Linked DNA regions of Macaca mulatta. The protein of the gene in region 2 interacts with the protein of the main gene of each other region in a biochemical or structural test. Links are inferred from orthologs where the notes say so. Each region holds a gene or a part of one and is shown on either strand. Other genes may lie near its edges.

Region 1 (4,156 bases), on a different chromosome or scaffold from region 2:
TTACCCCCACTCCTGGGTTCCAGCAGCCCTCGGAAGAGCAGCAAAAAATGCAAGGAGTCCTCTGTGTCACTGAGAGTGAGCAGGGTGATGCCCCCTATGCCCTGCTCTGGGGAGCCTTCTAGAGTCAGGATGGCACTGAAAGTCTCTGGGGAAGGGAGGATGATGAGAGCCCGTCAGAACGCCCCCTCCCCTTTCCTGGGGATAGAGAAAACTCAGAACTTCATGCCCAGGGCTCTTTGCTCCCTACCTGCAGCCAGGGCCCGGTGCCGGATGAGAGGCCCCCAGACCTCTCCTGAAGGGTGAGTGAGTGTCACAAGTGCCACATGCAGCTGTTCTGCCCTAAGGAGCCGCAGAGACAACCGAGGCACTGCCCGCCACACCCCACAGACCTGGAGCAGAGAGACAAGAAGGCCCTACGCTCAGACACTGTGCAGGTTAGGCCAATTAGGAGGTCCAGGCAGGCCTCATGAAAAAGGAACATGGAAAGGAACCTCCAGGGTGCCCTAGGAAGCTTAAGAAAGAACCCTGGAGCCAGATGCTTGGGTTCCAGTCCTGGCTGCACCACTTACTAGCTGTGTGACCTTGAACAAATCACATTCTCCTACTGAGCCTCAGTTCCCCCTTCTGTAAAATGGTCATCATAATGTCAGTGCCTTCCTCCCACTGGGCTGTGGTGAGGACCACTGGAGGCAATGCAGAGCATGCTCTCAGCACAGTGCCCAGACTGGACAAGTGCTCATAAATGACATCATCTCACCAGGCCATCTTGGGTGGGGGCTGCAGCGTGTTCAAACAGGACACTGCCATTGGAGTCTGAGAAGCGGACTCTGGTAGGGCGGTCCAGCCTGGGAATGAGAGGTCGGGTGAGGCCAGACTGGGCCAAAAGCAGCCCCTCCCAGCTCTCCCAGTTTCCCTCCTGGCCAGCAGCTGACCCCTCCTTGCTCCTTCCCCTTTCTCACCGCCTGTAGGAGATGGAGAAGCGGAGGCTAGAGCGCAGCAGCGAGACTCGGGCTCGTGCCACCGCCTGCGACCTCGGCCCTGTCAGCAGCGCCACGAAGTCTGGGACGGGAGGAAGATGGCCTGAGCACTGTCAAACGCTGCTTTGGTGGCCCAGCCTCAACCACAACCCCGCTGTTCGCCAGCCCCCTACCCGTGTGGCCATCACCACGGGCCCGCTCCTCAGCGCCTGGCTCCCCGCGGTCGCTATAACTGCGATGCTCCGGGTCCCGCGGATACTCGAAGGACAGGCCGCTCGGCTGCCGCTCCGAACTGCTACGCTCTGCAGGGGGCGGGGTAAGAACACGGGCTTCAGCTGGCCGTGGGAAGGGCCAGTCCGAAGCCCCATCCAAGTGGCCCAGGACCCAGTACCTTGGCCCTGCCTCCCTCCCCGCAGGGCGGAGCAAGCCTTACCCTGGGGGCAGGTCTGGCAGCAGTGTCCTGGCAGCTGGCGCGGCTGCCCACAGGCCAAGGTTGGGCACTCTGGTTTGATGTTCTTGCAGGTGACCCTGCCAGGGCCCCTGGTACGGCGACCCCACTGAAGCTGCTCCCGGAAAAGGCGGGAAACCCAAGTGAGCGCAAGAAGCCAACTGATGAGACCCCCAGGCAAGGATGTCCCGCAGAGTCAGCCAGCTCTGCCACTTACAATCTGCGTGACCCTAGACAAGCTACTTCGTCTCTCTGGGCCTCAAGGTCCCTGTCTGGAAAATGGGGATAATAATACTCTCGCTATCTAGCAAGGCTGCCATGGGAGTTAGGTGAGCTGGGAACGAAACGGAGTTGGCACAGAGCCTCACACAGAGTGGGCGATCAGTAACAGCACCTAAGACTTGAAGGGGCTGATTCCCCTTCCTCCACCAGAAAAGCATCCCCAACATCTGCCGACTGGGCTCCTTCTCAGCACTTCGACGTCCGCGCGACTCGCGCTCCCCACCAGTCAGGGCCCGGGCCGGCCGCGGGGCTCACTCACCGCCTCGCAGGCGCACAGCACGCAGCGCATCACCCCGAAGGGCTCCCCCAGGTCCGGGTGCCACGTCTCGTCCAAGGCATAGACCTTCCCGCCGAAGGAGCAGCCTGCGGGGACGGGCTTGGCTGGAGGCCGCTGCCCAGCTCGCGCCGTGTGCCGCCCCCGGGGCTGCCCGCGGGTCCCGGGTCCCGGGCACCGCGCCCTTCAGCCCCCGCCCACCCTCCGGGCGGCCCGCCGCGCCGAGCCACCTGCGCCCCGCGCCCCCTCCGGACTGGCGCTGACTCGCCCCGAGCCCGTATCTCCGCCCGCGCCTCCCCCGGGCGCCCACCTACCTGCTGCTCCCCGAACGGGCAGCGGCTCCTTCTCGGAACGGATGGGCAGCGCGGGGGGCTCAGGGCCGGCGCCGCGGGCCGGCCGGGAGCCGAGCAGCAGCAGCCCGAGAAGCAGCAGCGGGGCCGGCGGGGCCGGGAGGCTCGGCATGACGCGAACGGGACAGCTGGGGAGGCGGGAGGGAGGAGGGCGCGGGAGCGGGCGGAGGGAGGGAGGCGGGAGTGCGGAGGGCGGAGGGCCGGGCCGGGGGCGGTGCGGCGGGAGGGGGCCGGGGCCGGGGCCGGGGCCGGGGCAGTGCAGTAAGGGGCTCGTCGGGCGGCCGCAGAGTCGGCGCCGGGCCGGGCGGGGCGGGAGGAGCGGCCGGGAGGAGCGCGGGCAGTCGGGCGCTGACCCGGGCCGTACGCGGCTCTACTGCCCCGGGCGCCGGCTCCGGCCCGTTTTATGCCCCGCGCCCGACGCCCCGGCCGGGGGCCTCCTCCTCAGCAAACGGGGCGGCGGCGGCAGCTCGGCGAGGGGCCGGGCTGAGCCCGGGGGGTCCGGCCCAGCAGCAGCGGCCCGGATCGCGGGTGGGGGAGGGGAGGGAGGGCCTGGGACCGGGCAGGGGAGGAGGGAAGAGCGGGAGGAGGAAGGGGAGCGGGGGAGGGGGAGGGGAGGGACCAGGGGGCGCGAAGAGGGGGAGGAGAGGCGGGCCCGGAGCCCCCCGCTGCTGGCGGCCACAGGGCGGCTGGACCAGGAGGTCGGTGTCCAGCCCAGGAGGGGAGCCTCAGGCCAGGGAGGGGCAGAGGCTAGGCCTGAGGCCTGGACCGCTCAGTGAGCAGGACCCGGTTCCGCCCGAAGGATGAAGACTTGTCTTAAAAGATGACAACGTACAGGAAAGGCCCATCAGCCGATCTCCCCCGGCCCACAGCGCCCCTCAAACCCTCACCACCCTCTCTCACTGCCTAGCCTGCCTCCCTACCTCCTCTCTGAGGTCGCTCCTCATTCTTGTGTTACCCAGGACACGGACCTAGCCAGAAAGCGGCAGCATTCCCCTTTCTGTGGAATGACAGTGTCTCTCTCTCATTGTAACTTATCCTCAGGCCCATTCGACCATCCCCTCTTGCTTCCTCACCCCCTTCCTTCACCCAAGGGACCCTCTGCCTCTCCAACCCACTCCCAGCCTCCTTTCTCTTAGTTCCAGTGGTCATGCCTGCCTCCCTGTCTCTCCCACCCACACACACCCACTATCCTCCCAGCTATCCCAGCACCCTCCTTCCTAATCTTGGGAGACATCTCGTCTGGCTGGTCGGGAAAATTCCAGGATCTAGGCCACACTTCTCAGCAGACATGCCCATCCTTGGGGAGGAGGAACAGGAGAGAGTCTGAGGAAGTTCTAGGGGACAGGGGGATGATGGGAACAAGGTCAGGCTGGGACACCCCTGAGGACAGAGACTGTGGGGAGACTGGGACTAGGAAGAAAGCAAAGGAGCTAGAGCCAGGGCCAAAGGAAAAGGGGGGCCAGCAGGGAGGTATTTGCGGGGGAGGTCCAGCAGCTGTCTTTCCTAAGACAGGGACACATGGGCCTGGTTATTCCTCTTGTCACATGTGGAACGGTAGGAGATGGAAGAGGGAGACAGAACAAGCAAAGGAGGGCCCCATGCACAGAGAGCTGTGTGTGTAGCCCTCCAAGTCACTAGACCCCAGCAGACCAGCACCTAAGCCCAGGCTTAACCCGGTTCATGCCTGCGCACATATATGCGCCCCGCACCTGACAGTCCTCTCAACCAGTCTAAACCCTTTCCCCATAACACCAGCCCATAACAGGAGATTTCTCTCATGTGGGCAATATCCGTATTCCCACTTCGAAAAGGGGTATAACAAGAC
Region 2 (3,500 bases):
GGAAACTAAAGCCAAAGCTTTGCCCAAAGTCACCTGGTAGTTTAGCAGGGGACCCCTCCATGCAGCTTTCCCTTGTGCCATACCTACTAGTCCCCACTAAGGTCACATGAGCCTTACTTGTTAGCAGGCCACCAGGTCACCCTCCAATGCCACCTACCCTTATTCCATAAGGTACCACATCAGGATCTTCCCTCAAGCTGGAGAGGAAAACTTCAGGCACACTACAGTGTTCCAAGAGCAGGCCCTCAATAAGAATCCCTGCCCTTTGGCATGGTGGCTCATGCCTGTAATCCCAGCACTTTGGGAGGCCAGGGAGGATGGATCACTTGAGGCCAGGAGTTCGAGACCAGCTTGGCCAACACCGTGAAATCCCGTGTCTACTAAAAATATAAAAAATTGGCCAGGCGTGGTGTTGCATGCCTGTGGTCCCAGTTACTTGGGAGGCTGAGGCATGAGAATTACTTGAACTCAGGAGGCAGAGTTTGCAGTGAGCCAAAATGGTGCCACTGCATTCTAGCCTAGGTAACAGAGTGAGACCCTGTCTCAAAAAAAAAAAAAAAAAAAAAGAGAGAGAGAACAAAAGAAAAAAGAATCCATGCCCCTGCCCTTTGGGAAGGGGGGGCTATTTGTGTGCTCTCAGGACCATGTCTCAAACATCAGCATTGGCAGTGAGGAGCTTTCACCCTTCTACAGAGCAGTGAGGGGCTGGAGAGAACAGACACAGCCCAGCCCCTCATCCCTCCCATTCCCGCATCCATGCACAAGTACCACATGAATTTTTAGGAGTTTGGACCACAATCAAGGATAAGAAGAAAGCATCCCTGACCTTAAAGAGCTTTGAGTCCAGCTAGGGAGACATAGGAGCAAATCCTTTCAATATGGTGTGATAAGTGACAGGGTAAGAGTGTGAGCACAGACGAGGGAGAAAACAGGGAAAATGGAGGGATAGTCATGTTTAGGGGGCAACTGGGAAAGATGAATAGGAGAAGCTCCTGAGATGGGCCTCAGAGGATGCACAGAAATTTGCAAAGTGGGAACAGGAGAGCCCAGGAGGGATTACAGTGTTGGGCAGAGTGTCAAGATCTGGAGTGAGAAAGCTCGGGTTCCAGTCCCAGCTCTGCCACTCACTAGCTGTGTGATCCTGGGCAGGTCACTTTACCTCTGTGAGTCTTAGTTTCTGGACCTGTCAAACAGGAGTTGTCCTGACACCGCCTTTAAAGGTGGTTGGGGACAGTCAGGCTAGACAATACTTTTGAAAGTGGTTTGTAAACTGTAAGCAGAAAGAATGTCAGTTCTTAGTTGCTAGGGATGTCTGTATTTACTACTCCTTTGGGGAAGGGATGAAGATATCCCGAGGGAAGATAGGCCCATGTGCTGGGGTCAAGCTCATGGCCTCTGTCCTGGGAGGGCCTGGCTGGGAACAGGGAGAGTCCTTGTTTCCCTAAGACTGGAATTCATTTCTAGGACACAGAGGGCCCTTTGGCACCCGACTTACCTGCACCTTTGATGGAGGACTTACGAGTGGTGTGCTGTCTAAGATCCGCAGCCTGCTGTACCTGGAAGGCCCTCAGGTCCTCTTCGTCCAGGGCAATGTCCCCAAGAAAGGCAGCTAAAGAGAAAAGAAGAAGCCAGGGCTGAGTTAATCTCCCTTCCCAGCCCTGGGTGCGACGTGCTTCTAGCCCCACCCCTGTGGGCACCAGCCCCCAACCTCCACAGCGACTGTGATCCTCAAATGCCATCTGAACAAGAAGGAGAAGGGCAGTTAGGGATCAGCTTATAGAATTTCTTGGGAAGCTCATGCTTACTTTTCAGTTAAAAATCCCAATAAAGCTGATGCTCAGTCCCTACCAGGCTGTTAGCTCATCATTCTTTGGGGAGTGTGGGGCAGATAGGGTCTCACCGCTGTGCCCAGCTAATTTTTTAAAATTAGCAGGATCTTGCTATGTTGCCCAGGCTGGTCTCAAAATCCTGGCTTCAAGAGATGCTCCAGCCTCCTCAGCCTCTCCAGTGGCTGGGAATACAGGTATGAGCCACAGAGCCATCATTCTTCAGCAAATACTTAGTTAACATACTACTGTGGTGGAGACAATACCCTAGTCATTAGCAAGACAGAAGAGGCCCCTGCTCCTGTGGAGCTAACCTTCCATAATATGCAAGTAAATAAATACTGACCTAGGGTCTTCTAGATAGCAACGGGAGCTATGAAGAAAATAAAACAGGATGTGCTGAGCATGTGGTGTTCACTCAGCAAATGCTGTTTCAGTTTAACCAAGGTTGGGGGGGTCTATGAAATAAAGTAAGCCAGGTGCAGTGGCTCACACCTGTAATCCCAACACTTTGCGGGGGTCGAGGTGGGCGGATCATTTAAACTCAGGAGTTCAGGATCAGCCTGGGCAACATGGTGAAACCCTGTGTCTATAAAAAATACAAGAATTAGCCAGGCATGGTGATGTGATGCATGCCTGTAGTTCCAGCTACTCACTCTGGAGGCTAAGGCAGGCGGATCAATTGAGCCCGGGAGGTCAAGGCTGCAGTGAGCTGAGATGATGCCACTGCAATCCAGCCTGGGCAACAGAGTGAGACCCTGTCTCAAAAAAAAAAAAAAAAAAAAAAAGGAAATAAAATTGCACCAATTTTCATTAGAACAGATAAGCATCTTTGGGAAACGAAGATACCTTCCGGGAGCTTCCCAGCTAGGAGAAAAAAGTTTAACAGTTCTCAAGTAATTCCTATTCCAAGTCTTAGGCTGCTCAAGCAGAAAGGCCAGAGGGGAAGAGAGCCTCCCTAAAGGGCCATTCCGATTCCAGTATGTGGAGCTGAGGAGGGATGTTTCCAGAGACCCGGCTGAACTGTCTGTCTCCCTTTTGCGAAATCTGTAGAAAAGGAAGCAGAGGCCATAGAACTGGCCGCTTTGGAAGGCGCTCATATGGGAGCTGCATGCTGAGCTGAGCTGGGCTGGGGGAGGCGGGAGGCTGGGCTAGAGGTGGGACCCACAGCGGCTTCCCTGCAGCTCCACCCACGGCAACATCTGCTTCTCATCCAGGCAGAGCGCTATACAGGCCTGGCGGTCGCATTACACAAATTGTTTTAACCTTGAGGACTTCTACACAGGTTTTTCCTCCCCAGTTGGCCTCACTGGTGAACACACACACACACTGACTTCATCACATACAGAATCAGACACCCAAGGTTAGTGTTCCTACGGACACACGGTGGCATCCACACCCTTGCCATCCAGTGCAGAGCCATCAAAGCCAGAGACACACATCCTTGCACACGAAAGCAGCGCCCAGCACTGCACTTTCAGGCGGGAGACACTCCAGGATGTTCAAATGAATGAATTGCTACGCTGATATTCTTCTGGCTTGCAAATACATGCCCAGAGACACACCCTCACCTAGACAGGATCAACAGAATGTGGGAGTGACTGTGGCAGTCATCGAGGCCAAACTTCCATTTTATAGATGAGAAAACTGAGGTCCCAAAAGCAACAACTTAAC

The links. The genes of interacting proteins can lie anywhere in the genome.
Region 1: of the proteins of BMP1 (region 2) and CHRD, one has a biochemical effect on the other in vitro, tested with the Homo sapiens proteins (3 studies listed by BioGRID and IntAct). The link is inferred for Macaca mulatta from reciprocal best matches to the Homo sapiens genes BMP1 and CHRD.

Annotation. Positions count from the first base shown.
Region 1 is NC_133407.1:96,518,918-96,523,073, reverse strand, and holds the start of CHRD (chordin), read right to left. Parts: upstream 2,801-4,156; 5' UTR 2,444-2,800; coding exon 2,296-2,443; intron 2,259-2,295; exon of another isoform or gene 2,071-2,258; coding exon 1,967-2,070; intron 1,569-1,966; exon of another isoform or gene 1,541-1,568; coding exon 1,411-1,540; intron 1,280-1,410; coding exon 1,151-1,279; intron 1,060-1,150; coding exon 960-1,059; intron 846-959; coding exon 758-845; intron 390-757; coding exon 248-389; intron 146-247; coding exon 1-145. UniProt on the Homo sapiens protein: Dorsalizing factor. Key developmental protein that dorsalizes early vertebrate embryonic tissues by binding to ventralizing TGF-beta family bone morphogenetic proteins (BMPs) and sequestering them in latent complexes.
Region 2 is NC_133413.1:23,816,975-23,820,474, reverse strand, and holds part of BMP1 (bone morphogenetic protein 1 precursor), read right to left. Parts: intron 1,610-3,500; coding exon 1,496-1,609; intron 1-1,495. UniProt on the Homo sapiens protein: Metalloprotease that plays key roles in regulating the formation of the extracellular matrix (ECM) via processing of various precursor proteins into mature functional enzymes or structural proteins.